Oreochromis niloticus: one gene and its partner. The protein of the gene in region 1 interacts with the protein of each later gene in a pairwise test. Links are inferred from orthologs where the notes say so. Each region holds a gene or a part of one and is shown in the gene's direction. Other genes may lie near its edges.

Region 1 (7,844 bases):
TAAGTATAAGAGCTATAATAAAAGGATAAATACTGGGTAATTAGTTCCCCACTGTAATGGGGTAGCCTGTTACTGATGGTGTTCTTGGTGACTGTGGTGCCAGCTGCATTTTTGGCCTAACACACCACCTTTCTCATGACCATCCCATGAAGCGAGATCTTGCATGGAGCTCCAAATCAACGTTGACTGATTCATTTTATACTTCTTACATCTCTGAATAATCGCACCAACAGTCGTCACCTTCTCAACAAGCTTCTTGCTGATGGTCTTGTAGCCCGTTCAAGCCTTGTCTAGGTGTGATATCTTCTCCCTGATGTCCTTTAACAGGTCTTTGGTCCTCTCCATGGTGGTGGAGAGGTTCGAGTGGAAGAAATCCACAATGTGGACAAGCCTGCTTTATACATGTCATGGGTTGAGATTGGGAGTATCTGTAACTGACTGATAGTCAGTCTGTGGGAGCCAGAATTCTGGCAGTGTTGTAGTGGATCAAATACTTTTTCACTCAATGACAAACCTTTTATGTCATGTCTTTTTTCTCGATTTTTGGTTGATTAGAGACTGTTCATTTTGTTGTAAGTAAGCAAACTTAGAAATTTAGCAGGGGATCAAATAATTATTTTCCAGACTCCACAACACTTCATTAAAGTAATGTAAAAATGATTGCAATAATGGAAGTGACTGTGAAGGAGGATCTTAGCTCACTCCTAACCAGGATTGTGGGATGTATGTGAAAAAATGCAGGAACCAGTTTACTAGTTACAAAGCAAAATTGTCTAAAAGGTGTTTATTTTGTGTAATTACAAGCAAAGCTGTGGATAATTCTGCATTTACGCAACTGTATGCTGCAGTATGTGACATGACAGCATGTAGGGAAACACTGTAAACCAATAACCACTTCCACATTTGAACAATGGGGGGAGCTGTGAGTAGCTATGAAACACACCACCTCCCCTCTGTGCACAGAGAGGGGACTTGGACAGAGCGCAGCCTTGAAATCTGAAGTGACAGCTGCTTTCAGAGCATACAGGAGGAGCGCTGCTGTTCTGCTAAAAAAAAGTCTGTATTGGTTTTTTGCAGAGAATGTGAAGAGCTGACACGACGATGCAGAGGTCCACATACACAAATAAGGAAAATGCAATACCACGATGCCTGAAGAGCTGCAGCCCTCAATAGGTGATTGTAGTGTGTAAAGTAGCATGCACTTCAGACACGCTGCTTCTCTGTCACTCTCTGCTGTCCAAAAAAAGAAATGTCCGTGACCATTAAAATCTTTGAAAATCGCTGTAAAGCTGCCTTTAAAGACTGGTGATGATTAATTATATATATCTCCCTCAGTGCCTGCTTTAAGCTCAGAGTGTTATTTATTTATCTGCCAGATAAACTGTCAAATCCCTTATTTGTGCATACTTTGTCTGTTTTGGAGCTGAAATACGTTAAAGCTTATTATTTTTATGTATGACTCATTTACTATGCAGGTACTAAGGATGTCACTCTCTATGTTCAAGGGCTGTTTCCATACACGCCCCACCTGGCACACTTCATTGTACCCGAGTGTATACTGTTCACACCTCCTACAAAGAACACAGGTACATCTCTAGGGAGGAACCCAACCCTCGAAGAATCTGCTCCTCCCATGGGAGTAGTTTTTGATTTATTCCTCAAGCACGCAATGGCCCTGCACTACACACACACTGCTATGGAGTCACGTTGTGCTCTGAACGGTGCAAACCATTCAAAGGGAGGCAATGTCAAACAGAGGGCTGCTGAACTGTCTGCAGAAGATGTTTAGCATCCTATATGTAAAGATTACATCGGCACGTTGTAAGAGCGAGTAGGTGTGAACCTGTGAGTACATGCAGAGGGGAACAAGAAGGTGCAAGTACATGCTTGCGTATGTGCAGGCCTGTGAGCTCGAGAGACACTGAGGAAGTATTTTTATTAAACTGGTGATCTATTTTGAAACGTGCGGTCAACTTACTGCTTCCGCTTGACTCTGGCCTTACACATTTGTTATTATAGGAAGTTCTATTTTAGCAACACGGCGTGAAACTGAAACTACGAGGTGCATTATGGGTGGTAGGTTAGCACAAAAGTGCACATATCACACATCTGGCTGATGTAGTAATGACAACAATCAGTCAAATCTCAACGTATTTAAGTCTCCTTTATGTCTCAAAGTTGCAGATCACTTCCACAGTTTTGATGGCCTTCTGCATGTTAGTGCACTATTTCCCTCACTACTTGGACTACGAGGGCTTCCAGGATCAAATGGCACACATGTGGTCTGGATATTAAATGTTTTTTTTAGTTTTTTTTAAATGAAGCTCTTCATTCCCTGCCTACACTTAAATATCAAAGTCCATTCAGCAACTCGCCGCATCTCTTCATGAATGTAATGCTAGCCCTCTAGCACACAGGGCAACCTACCTCTCTGTCTCTTTGTTTGGGATGCATGTGACAAGAGCACAATAGAGTGCTGGACAATAGGCCACTTATTGAGTGACTCGCAGGGAGTGGGACAGATCCCTGATCGTCTGTCACTCCGCAGCCTCGTGCACCCTTCGGCTCTCGGGCAGTGTCAGGTTGCATTCTCCTCTGACGAAGAGGCAAAGGCACTTGTTGTCACATTGGAAATCTGGGAGAGGTCACAGAGGTCAAGATAATAAAAACACAAAAAAGAGGAGAGGGTTAAGCGGGTGTTTATTTCTTTTATCTTGATAGCTTATTTCAGTGGCACAGCTTAGTTTTTGTGCTTATTTGACACATGCTTTACGCATGATTATAACTGATAATAATTAACTTTGAACTAGAGCGAATTGAATTTAGCCCCCTTAAAGTGAATTAGAGTTAATCGGGACACGAGTGCATAAACATCTTTCATAAGCATGTTTTCTAGCATCACTCCATCATTGTGTTTATGTTTGTAGCTATGCGTGTGTATGTGAAAACAGTCGCTGTCGGCAGCTGAGACGTTCCATCATGTCACTGTCAGCTGACTGTCAGTGACTGCCTTCAGCTGAACAGATCCTGAACTCTCTGGCTTTAAAAAAAAAACATACCCTGACCTTCTTCTCTTCTGAGAAAAAGCAGAAGTTTCCCGGTGCAGTCAAATCCAAGGATGACATGTTTTTTTGCAGCAAGTCACACTGAAAACAGGACTGACCTCGTACCATAAACAATAAGAACAAATATCTGAAGTGAATCTTGAGTTTTTGCTAAATTGCATCCAGGATCCACAGGCGTGCTGCGTGTTATATTTATTCATTCAGACTCCTAATATGCTTTGTGGCTTGTGTTCAGATAATATTCATTAACTTTTATGTTCTCTTCTTCATTTATCACACTTTATGTACTTTGTTTTGCTGCTGTGACACTTTTGTTCCCCTGCATGGGCTAATAAAAAATATCATCTATTCAAATTAGTAACACTAGATTACATAATACACAGATGTACCAATATACTAACCAAAAGCACAGGAAAAGTGCACAACGTGTCACATTATAATTACATATGTTTTACATAATACATATGACATTATTAGATTTAAATGGTTGAAGCAGTGACCTGCAGCCTTTTGATATTTTAGCCAGTGGAGGTGGATCTACTTTATGACTCGTTATGCCTCCTTGCTGGTGACAGCTATGCTACGAGGCATCCTGTTTTCTGGCTGTCCATCTGTCCTTCCTCTCTATGTGAAGGCGGTGTCTCTGGACGTCTGGCACAGAAGTTCACATGCACTGAGGGATGAAAGGATTAGCTTTAGGTGGAAAAGGTCAAGGCCACTACGACTTTGTAAAAATGTTTTTGGCCAGCGCTGTGCAAAAGTTATGAGCCACATTAGATACTGGCTGCTTTTTTGTTTTTACTCATTTTCAGTCCTTGTACGCACTTAACACTGACCTATGAATTAAACGTTAAATTCTGTCTCTAGGCACTTTGTTACTAGCAGGCTGCTGGAAAAACACATAATTTGTTCCCATTTCTTTTGTTGAATCTATGAAAAATACCTAAGCTAACAAAGTGTGACAGACAGGAAACAGTATTTTTACACCTCGAAGAGCTATTTGCTGAAAATCTGGCATGTCTTGAAATGGTGTGCACTGTGTCCTTGAAAAAAATCTGAGGAAACTGGGCAGGCGGTGGACAAAAGAAGAAGTGTCAGGCCTAAAAACAATCTACAGCAGATGAACAGTCTGTCCTTAAGGAATGGGCCCTTCAGCTGATCCATTTACTGTTCACTAAAGCCTCATCAGAAATGGTCTCCGTGGACGGGAGGCTGTCAAGGAGTCATTCTGAGAGAAGGGAAAGTGCCATCAGATTTTATTCCACCAAGCAATACCATTTGAAAATCAGCTGGTTGGCAACAGCTTCATTTCTCATCATGACAGTGATCCCAAACACACTGCCAATGCAATAAATACATACCTGGTTAGAAAAAACAAACAATGGAGGACAATCAGTCAACATTATTGAAGCAGTGTGGGATCATTTTGACACGGAAGTATTGATTAATAGATCCATATTTGTCGAGACCCCCTTATTTTAAGCTTTAAGTATAAATGCCTCAGAATTTTACTTGAGTTATATAAACTCAGTGTTGAGCTGTGCAGGGTTGTATTGTAGATAAAGTGTTTACACTGCTGAGAAGCCACTTTTTGAGTGAGGCTGAGTTAAAAAGAAATAATAATATTAATATTAACCATTCTTCCTCTCCCACAGCGCGCTTTTGCATTTGCTCCTGAAAAAGCAGCCCAATCTCCACTGTGAGTAAAACAATCGTGCCAATAAAGGAATACTGTGTATTCCCACACTCTGGCACTGTCAGCGAACCTCTCTTGTATCTCTGTGACTGCTTTCTGTGCTCCGAGCTCTCATATTTTTGCATGAGTAGTTTACAAACTGCTCCAGTTTTGAACTTCTCTCTCGCCCTCCCTCCCTCGCTCTCTCTCTCTCTCTCTCTGAAGGTGGGGGCAGAGAGCTATTAGCCGAGCGCTGCAGACATCATTAGGAGGGGAGACGCTTTCCACCGTCAGCGCCGGAGCAGAGCAGGGGAGCCCTGGCAACAAGGAGAGACACAAACTCAGCAGCCCGCTACACCCCGCAGTAAGTCGCACAAAACTATTTCCACAGAGCCGCTTTCGCCAACCTGTCACCGCTTTCACGTTGTCACTCTTCTCTTTTGGAGCTGGCTAAATTAAAAAAAATGGCTGGAAGAACTGGGAAGGGTGGCGCTGAAGCTCTGGTTTACTTCAAAGCCTTAGAAAATGTTTACTTCGCACTCTGACCTATTTTTAAGTGACCACACAGTACACGGCCACGCGGGCTGTGGGTGGGTATACTTGTCATTTGGGAACGTGAACGCAAAGTGTTGTTTAAATGGGACGAAAGAGGGGCGGAGGTTCGGCTGGATTCTGACCGAGCGAGGAGCGCGTCCGCCGGGTGAGTTGGGAGTCGGGCAGGCGCTGTACTTCCAGTAACTGCGCCACTCGACCTCGGCTCAAAACATTTCCTCTTTGCAGACTATTTCTTTGTCGGACATGTCCGAATAATGTCGCTTCGGGCCGCATACGTCTTCTTCTGAACTCTTGCCTTACTGACAGGGACTGTCACGGGAAAGCGTTACATTTTTTTTAAATCTACGTTTCACTATCGCGGAAGTGTTTTCTCCACACGAAAGGAGGCGAACTACTAACCACAGTCCACATGATTTCTACAATTTAAAAAAAAGCGTAACCGCAGGTGTTTTGCATGTTTCGATTAGTAGGAAGCATTTATTGTTGCGCACGTAATACTACACAGTGTTTTACATTGTCAGCTGGTTGTAAAGGACATACGGTTTGTGATTGCAGGACTACCCGTGATGTCATTCATCCTAGCATGGACCATTATATAACGGGACTGTAGGGAAGCCTGTGATAGCAAGCTATTTTTACTCTGTTTACACCTCAGAGCAGGGTAGGCTATGCGTCCCAAGTGGTAGCCAATGCTTTCACTCGCACTATAATTTTTTAACGAGCATTCCTAATGGCAGCAGACTGATTGACAAAGTGAATGCTCAAGATTAAAAAAAGAAAAAGAAAGAAAAAAGCTGCACTTCTTTCCACCAGCTGCATGCTTAAGTGTTCCTCTTTTCTGATGATGTCTGTGCAATTTATAGGAAAAACACGAAAAAACAGAAGTGGGTTTGCATTACTTGTTGATTATGTCATTTCTCATCTTTGAAGCCCGTCCTGTAGCCTTAAGCAATGAATGACTGGACACCCCATAGAGTGCTTTCAACACACAGATATCTCAGCAGATAGCTGTGATCGTGGTTAAACTTGCTTTCTATCTAAAAGACTTGTTTTGCTACTTTTTAAACGTGTTACTGAAAGAAATATAAAATATTACAACACCAACAAATTTGAATCTGCAGCTTTCAATAAAAAAAACCCCAAACACACTTTCTGTTTTATTCCATGGTTCTTGTAATTCACTCACTTGCAGCCACTGTGTGTTAGCAAACACTTGCAGAGTGAACCTATAGAGTCAGTGCAGCCCGTCGGCTCCGATGTTAGTACTTTTATGGTGTTGGACATATCTATTAGTGCTGTCGCTAGTTCAAGTACTTCTGTCCTCCGTGGAGGATGCGAGCACAAATGTATGAGTGACCCATTAATTAAATTCCTTGCTTGCTTTGACTCTTGCCTGTAAACACATGTTTCAGATTTTATCTGCACTGCCCATGATTGTTGTTATCCAAGTACTGAAAGAAATCTGATCCCGTGGTTGCCATAAATCCCATATACAAGCTCTTCCAACATTTGTTTCAGTGCAGTGAAACACACATTTAGAAACACCTTCATGTGGTACATGGTGTGGAAAAGTATTCAGAGATCAGTGTGGAGTTACTTTTTAATACCTTTTAATGTTTAATAATAAATAATTCGGATTGTTTATTTATTCAGAAAGACAGCAGGAAAAGTGTGAAGAAAAAATGCTCACTAGTTTGACTTTTGTCTCTCTTCTGTAAAAAAATACATAACCGACACTGGCCAGCCATTTTTTTAGGTACTGGTATTCGGTCAGACCCTTTTAAGCACGCATATCAACGCATTGAGTTGGTGGCTTGTGATTGGCTGTTGTATTTGCACTTAACAACATGGCCATTAAGTCTTTATTAACCATACTGAAACCATTATGTATTTTTTATGTGTGACTGGTATTAAATACAGCAGGTTGGAGAAGAGAGGAAGGGGTCGTATCCAAGAGGTACTCGGAAACACACAGCTGAGCTTCAAATCTTTAACAAGGGATGGATTCATGTATAATGATGGGAAGGATGTGGATAATGAAGTGATTGGGATCCGGTGTTAATCCCTGTGGGATGCCATGGAAAGGTCTTTTTAATGGAAATAAATTTCTCTGCTAGCGAGGTCGACTAGAGGCGTCCAGGAACTGTTCATGACTGAAGCTTTATAGATGTTAATCCACCGCGGTGCATTTTTAGCACGCAAATATCCACCGCTGTATGATGGCTGACAGCGTGCAGCGCGAGCAACTGGTTGCCTTTTGTCCCGTCTCCTGCACGTTCCACAGGCAGCAGCTTTGCCCGAACCACGCAGAATGTTTCTGGTGGTAAGAACGCTTATGAACGGGTCTGTCTCCTGCTCTGTGCTACCTGTGAAAATGAGCAACTGCTGCCAGTGTGCTCACCTGATTCTCCAGACTCTGGTGTTCAGGTGTGAAAACAGGCTGGGAGATAGATGCGTTATGAATGCTTGAGCAGAAGGGAGGTGTTAATGTAAAGGGTAGAGAGTGAAGATAGGGAGGTAAGGAGAGGCTGTTGTAGTGATTTAGGTAG
Region 2 (7,560 bases), on another chromosome or scaffold:
ACGTTGGGGGCCTCACATCCAGGCTCCGTTTTAGTGGCCTGAGGTGTGACTTTAGCACTGCTGCTCTCACCCGCTGAGACTGGGTAAACACCAACGAGTGACTTCTGTGGGAGAAACACAGTTCAACCTACCACAGATGGAGGGAGCGTGATATACAGTGTTGTGAAAAAGTATTTGCTCCCTTCCTGGGTTTTATTTTGGCGTATTTGTCACACTTATATGTTTCAGATCACTGAACAAATTTAAAAATCAAAAACCCAAGTAAATGCTTATTTAAAATGATGACTTCATTCATTTTGAAATTCACGTGTAAAAAAGTTATTTCCCCCTAAAACCTAATAACAGGTTGCGCCAAATTTGGCAGCAAGAACTACAATCAAGCGTTTGTCATAACGTTGTATATAGCATTTGTATTCTATATTTATCCTATTGTATATTTTATTCTACTGTATATAGTATTTTATTTTTATTTTATTCTATTCTGTACAGTTGTGTACTGTATTTATTCTTATTGTATTCTAATTTTTGCTTCAGAACTTTTGCACTGTCCACTTCTTGCTGTGACAAAACAAATTTCCCACGTGTGGGACTAATAAAGGTTATCTTATCTTATCTTATCTTAACTGCCAGTGAATCTTTCACATCACCGTGGAAGAATTCTGGCTCACTCCTCTTTGCAGAATTGTTTTAATTCAGCCACAATGGAGGGTGTTGGAGCATGAACGGCCTGTTTAAGATCCTGTCAAACAATCTCAGTCTGATATAAGTCCGGCCATTGAATAGGCTACTCCAAAACCGCCTTATTTATTTTATTTATTTATTTTTTGTGTAGGTAGGCTTGCTGCTGTTTTGGATCATTGCACTTCTGCATAACTCAAATGAGATTGAGCTTCGAGGCATGAACTGATGGTCGGACATCCTCCTTCAGGATTTTCTGGTAGAGAGCAGAATTCATGGCTCCATCAATTACAGCAGGTCAAGCACCAAAGCAACCCCAGACTATCACACTGCCACCACCATGTTTGACCATCTGTATGATGGTCTTTTTATGAAATGCTGTGTTAGTTTTATGTCACATGTAACAGAAGTCAAACCTTCCAAAAAGTTTGAAGTCTTGGATATTTTCATCAAGATATTTTTTAGGTAAATCTGAGACGAGCCTTTGTGTTCTTCTTAGGCAGCAGTGGTTTTCTCCATGGATGCCATTTTTGCCTGGTCTCCTTCTCATTTTCTTATAATGTTCTTATTATGAACTCTTAATTGAGGCAAATGAGGCTGCAGTTCTTTTGTCACTCCATTGGATGTGTTGTCGATGTGTTTGTGGAATCATTTTGGTAGGCTGACTACTGCTGGGAAGCTTCATCATTGTGCCATGTTTTCTCCATTTGTGGCTAATGGCTCTCACTGTGGTTTGCTGGAGTCCCAAAGCCTTAGAAATGGCTCTGTAACCCTTTCTGGACTGAGAGACATCAGTGACTTTGTCTCTCAGCTGTTTCTTTAGATCATGCTGTTATTTGTTGCTTTTTGAGGTCTTTTAGGGTACTTTATTTTGTCAGACAACTTCTATTTAAGTGATTTCTTGATTCGATAACTCTGGCAGTAATCAGGCCTGAGTGTGTTTAGTGAAATTAAACTCAGCTTTCCAAAAAATGTGACTTATTTAGAGCTAACCCGTGATTTAACTTTTTAAAATCATGATTAAACTTTTCACACATGGCTGGGTAGGTTTGGATAACTTTTCCCTCTTAATAAATGAAATTGTAATTTCATATTTTTTTGTGTTTACTCAGGTTTTTTTGTTTCGTTTGATGACTGGAAACATGTAAGTGTGACAAATATGCATAAAGAAAGAAATCAGGAAAGAGTGCTGTCAAATAGCTTTTGACTGCACTATATTTGGAAAATGGAAACAAAGTCGTTAATTTCAATAGAAACTGTTTGGAAATTGCCGTGTATAGCGGACTTGTTTGGAAAATGTGATCCATGAGTCAGAATAAAGAAACTGACTTCCAGATAGGTCTTGTTTTTGACATAGTTCCAAGTATTTCCTCTTCCTATTGAGTAATGTTAAATTACCTGTAGGAGAGTTATAATGCTTCTGTAGTCTCTGTGCTGTAGGCTCAGGAAAGTCCTGTGTTACTACAAGCTTCCTGGTCACATACGTTGTTCAAGGATAACACAGGAGTTTAAAACGCCACCTTTACAGAGACAATAAGCATTACAATGAATATAACAGCGCACATTTTGGAACAGCAGTTGCTTAAAGGTATTCATGATGTCACACAAAGGAAAGTAGCGGTGTATAACGCCTGACCAAACGATGCATAATGAGCCGTTCTTGGATCGCTGGTGTCTGTTGCAAACATGATGAGATGCGGCTCGCCCATTCCTGTTGTTGAAAAGGTGTAGGTACTTTTAGTGACCACACAGGATTGCAAAACACGCCAGGAACAGAAATTTTCACTCCAGCTAATGTGTGGCTTGTTTGTTCTGTGTTCGCTTTATCGCTAATGGGGGGGGAAGTCTGGCCACAGCTTTGATCCAAGGCAGAACATTAGGCATCTTTAAAAGGTGGCCTAACTACATGAGTTAAACTGTAAATATGGATATTTACATATTTGACTTTTGTGCTTCCAGCCTATCCAAAAACTTGTATATTTAGTAACTATATTCAGGCTTCCACAGTTAAGGATCAATTTTGCCAGTACTTCGGGAGCCCAAGATTGGGAAGCTTGAATATCTTTTTACCACCATTTTTCCAGAAAAGTCATGGTGAGATTTAGAAATACTACAAACAGCATTTATGCCATAAAATGTAGGTTCGACCTGAATTATCAGTGTGTGTTTGGGGCAGATTTAGAGCACTTGTCTATCATCTCTGGGTTCTGTCTCATACAACCTGTTTCTGTACTAGATGGTGAAATATCTGGGAAAACTTATTATTGATAAAAAGCATGCGTGATGAGGCACCTGACTGACCAAAGCAACTTAAAGTGGATTTATCTCACAGGGAAAATTCCCTGTTTCATTTTTCCTTTGTAATATTATGACTATGAGTGTGAGTCACTTCTGGCTGCGTGTGTGAATTATCAAATTCATCTTCCTGCTTTTTCCATGATGATCCACAGCCAGACCTGAAAAGTAAAAATAAATGTTAAAACTCCAGTCTGCTTGATTACTGAGTAAAATATCTGTGACATCTTCAGACCCTGTCTTTGGTGATCTTTTGTTTTGGTTGAACTGAAGGTAAAAATGTAGCAACACATGAAAGGTCTCCGGTGCTGAAACCAGGAGGAGACACAAATCACAGAGATTTGTCAGGAAGGGGATCCGGAGTAAAAACAAAATATAATAAGTGGGTCCATGTGCTGTGTTGTCACCTTGTGAATAAGGGAGCAGCTGAAATAAGTTTTTAAATGTGGGTAAAAACAACAAAAAGTAAATAACACTGCTAATAAATACATACTGCTACCGGTACATTATCATTTGCTCACTAGCATTATTTTAAATTTAAAAAGTTAGATATATTCTAAAAGGAATCACATGTTTATTATAAACCTTACATATCATTATAGTATAAGTTATTATTATTATTTCATGATACTCTTAAGAAAAATTTGCCTGGCAACAGCCACATTCAGCCTTTCTTCCTCTCTTTTTGCTTGGGTTTTTGCTTATCTCGATCCCCCCTCTTATCTGGTCTCAATTCTGTCGTCTGCCGCTTACCGAGACGCTTTATATTCACTTCCACTGCTGATTAAATTACTCGAGCCCTCAAACGGGGTTTCAGAGAACATTATAACGCAGTGAGAAAGATGGCATAGTTTGGAGGCTGATGACTGTTAGCGCCTCAGGTGTATCCGTTTAAACAACTGGTTGAACAGGCTGGGATCAACTGACAGACCGCAGCGTGCGCTTAAAATTTATGACACTAGTGCAGCAGCTCAGCACAGACAATGATCTAATCAATGAGCAAACAGAGCGTGATCATGAGTTTTGGGCTCCGTTGTCTGACTGATAAGGCCGCTTGTTCAGGAAGTTGGAAACCTGGGAATTGACATGACACCTTTAACCAGATATGGGTGTTCAGACCTATTAATCCCGAATAACTTCTTAGAGTGACTCTTACTTTTAGGTAGTGGATATTTAATTTGGGAACATCCTCCTAAAACGCAAACAAGATGTGTTTGCATACACCTCTTGCCTTATATGAAAATTTCGGTGGTTGAATTCACAAGCATCCTGTTTCCTCTGCTTGTATCGCAGGATAAGAAAATATCATATTTCATATATCCGTGCTCTGAAAACAATGTGACGCCAGACATTTTCCCCTCTTTGGGGTTAACAGTGATGTTTTGACCCTTTTTAAACTCTGTGCTGTGTTTTATATACAATCTACTAACCAAAAGCTCACAGATACTTACCTTGCAGTAATAAATAGAATACTTAAGTGTGGAGGCATTTTCATGTCTGGACATGCCAGCAGAAGTTCCCATCTTCCCCTGTGATTGACACACACCATCCAGTGTGTTTAGTGGCCAGTTATTGCAGCGGTGAGCCAACAATGAGCTCCATTTGGCTCCAGGAAGGTGTGAAATGGCACACTTCTCCTTGAACCCCCTCCTGTTGGCTTTGTTGTTGGGATTGATTTAGCAGACAGGGCAAGTCGGGGGAGTCTGTGTCCTTATTCACCGAGCACACACACACACACACACACACACACACACACACACACAGCCTGTTGTGACACAGCCCCAAACTCCACCCCCTTTTACTCACACACAGTAGTGACTCTTCACCCTGCCTCCTTCTGCCTCAGTACAAGTCTGACTTCAGCAGTGAGCGCAGCACTCGTCTGGATTAGACTCATCCATCACAGAGGGACTTTACAGCGTATCTACACAGAGGCGCAGACCCCGACACAGGAAAGCAGCATGGGGAGCAGTATGTCATGTGTCCCCCAGCACAACTTCAGATTCTCCAGCAAGAGTTTCATACGCAGAAACAGGTAAGAACTATTCAGTCTCTCCGGGTGCTCATACTGTACTTGTGTCGGTGTGCAAACAGAGCACATGTCATGCCCTTGACAGCAGATTGTTATTTTAGACACTGGCTTTCAACCGGAAGGTATTCTTGGTATTTCTTGAGGGTTTGAGAAGTGGGGTTACACAGAGGTTGTGCATTTTGTGGGGCCAGGTTCAGGATCATAATACAGAATAGTCCCGGAGTCGTGCCTGAGCAGCCTATCTGTCTGGCCAACGGTGTCAATGATCCAGTTACCATTTGCCTCCTCTTTGCATCTCTGTGAAGATGATCTGCCAGCTGTCGATTACTCTGTTTTCCCTCCAAAAGAGGGAACAATCCAAAAAACAATCCAGACTTGAGTATTAACATGATTGATTTTGAGCTGTTATTCTTAAATGATAAGGTTTAGTCTGCTAAGTTAGTACATGACTACGTGACTATGGAGATGGCTGGCTTACACTTGGTTTTCTACCTGGTTTTCTTTTAATCCCCCAGGATTATATGCCTGGGCATGTTACCCTTGATTCAGCCTTGCTAGACCATCACATCTGGTTCTAATTCACCTCTGCTTCTATTCTTCATCTTCTGACTAACGATTCAGGATGTAGTTTGGTTAAACATCTCATGTAGCTTTAAAGTTTTTTAAATAAAAGGATGAGCAGTGCGACCCTAAAAAGACAGTTGGTTTCAAAAGCTCAGCGGCTCAAACTTGGACAGTGATACACCTTCCAGGCAGGATCATTGGATCAGGACGAACAATACAGTCAGTGTTTCTGTTTTCTGTTACCGTACAACCTCTTTGTGTTGGAGAATCAGGCCAGGCTCAGGTATTCCCTGAAGAAAAGGGGAGTGAGTGGTGCTGAATGCCACAGCAGTGACTTGGAGAATGTTGGGTGTGCGAGTCCACTACCTGTCTATTATCTACAACACATTCCCCTGTCACCTTGCAGTTGCAGATTACATCACAATGCAGGACCATTATATTTTTTCACTGTGCATAAATGCATTTTACAAAATTTTATTATTTTATTGTTCAATAGGCACTAATAAATAATTAATTCTGCTCATGGACTTCCTGGACGGACAACCCTTGATTCCCAGCATAAAAACAAAAGCCGGCGTTGTTAAACTGAGGACACTGGCACACATATGTACAGATAAGCAGATAAACTACTAGCGGAAGCTGTAAAAGCAGTCTCTAAAGCCTTATCTTTGCAGTGAGGGAGCTTCCTCGTGAAGATGTGACACAAATGGTAATAGATGAGGGTCATGCAAAACAAAGAGAGACATTGAATGCTGATTTTTCCCTGTGGATATCCTCGCTATCACAAACACAAGACTCAGTTGTTCTTATCATTTAAAGGACTGGCACTGATAGAGTGGGAGCCAGGCATAGGGATGCTGATTGATTTAGGAGGCAGACAACGTGATTTAAACTAAAGTGGGACTTTGGAATGAAAAGCTTTGCTATAACAAACATTAGATTTAGGTTATTTCACTAACTATACATAGGAGACAATATTGGAATCTCTATAGGCGTGAAGTTAGATTGGGAAATAAACCAAACAGCTAAACATGGATTAGGTGGTAAACACTGGAGAGTGAGTATTAACACATAGCTTTCCTTTCTCATGACAGCAGTCGCTTGTTTCGCAAGTATAATCCCCAAGAGGGACAGGAGAAGTCCAACAGCATCATAAATATCCTCTGCACTGTCACCCCGAGGAAGGTACGTACCTCCATCAGCTCCGAAAACATAACGTCATTCATCTACATGCCAAGCAGAACTGCTCGGCTGTGGTTTTCAACCCCTGTGCCAAACTTTCTGACTTTAAATTCAGGTCTGACTGCTTTACTACTGACATGCCCGAACTAATATTGTGACTTGGTGGTTGCAGGAAATGTCCCCTAAAGATCTGCAGACGATAGAAAACATCAAATGGGATCCTCCGTTTGCTTACGACCCGATCAGTGGCTGGAAGAAGAGCAGCATCAATGTGAAGAATTATGGACGGATGATTCACAGCTCCAAAGTTCGTTTCCGCTTCCTCCACTGCCAGGTGAGCGCAGCAAAGCACCTTTTTTTTTTTTTTAAATGACCGTGTGTCGCAATGTCAGGAACACAGCTGTAAAAGAAAACAAAGATCACACTACAAAATCCCCGTTGCGGCTAAAGTCATCTCCAACAATGGCCAAGCCTATGGTGACACACCATGCCAGTCATCCCTGTGGGAACCCAGTGAGTGTCAGAAGCCGAAAAAACAAAAAAACAAAACAGGTGGAGAGTAACAGGATGTGGCTCTGCAGCCACCAAACACAATGAAACTCGCTGCTGGCTTTGACGCACTGGTTGGCTGCGAATGATCCAATCCGTTTTCCAAAAAGAGAACCGCAGCCTGTGTTTGGACATGCTTGCATAGGCTGTGGTTGTGAAACAGCTTCATGAGAAAACCTCAGGGTACAGAGAGAGTGTGTCTGATTCCAGGCACAGATAGAGGCTGGCTCCTCACGGTGGGAACTGCAGTTTGTCAAAGT

Evidence for each region.
Region 2: the proteins of atxn1a (region 1) and plekhn1 interact in binary tests that used the Homo sapiens proteins (3 or more experiments, as listed by UniProt). The link is inferred for Oreochromis niloticus from reciprocal best matches to the Homo sapiens genes ATXN1 and PLEKHN1.

The regions. Positions count from the first base shown.
Region 1 is NC_031985.2:20,491,305-20,499,148, reverse strand, and holds the start of atxn1a (ataxin-1a), read left to right. Parts: upstream 1-4,841; 5' UTR 4,842-5,104; intron 5,105-7,844. UniProt on the Homo sapiens protein: Chromatin-binding factor that repress Notch signaling in the absence of Notch intracellular domain by acting as a CBF1 corepressor. Binds to the HEY promoter and might assist, along with NCOR2, RBPJ-mediated repression. Binds RNA in vitro.
Region 2 is NC_031984.2:21,800,108-21,807,667, forward strand, and holds the start of plekhn1 (pleckstrin homology domain-containing family N member 1), read left to right. Parts: upstream 1-4,543; 5' UTR 4,544-4,553; intron 4,554-4,819; 5' UTR 4,820-4,934; coding exon 4,935-5,008; intron 5,009-6,663; coding exon 6,664-6,754; intron 6,755-6,923; coding exon 6,924-7,085; intron 7,086-7,560. UniProt on the Homo sapiens protein: Controls the stability of the leptin mRNA harboring an AU-rich element (ARE) in its 3' UTR, in cooperation with the RNA stabilizer ELAVL1.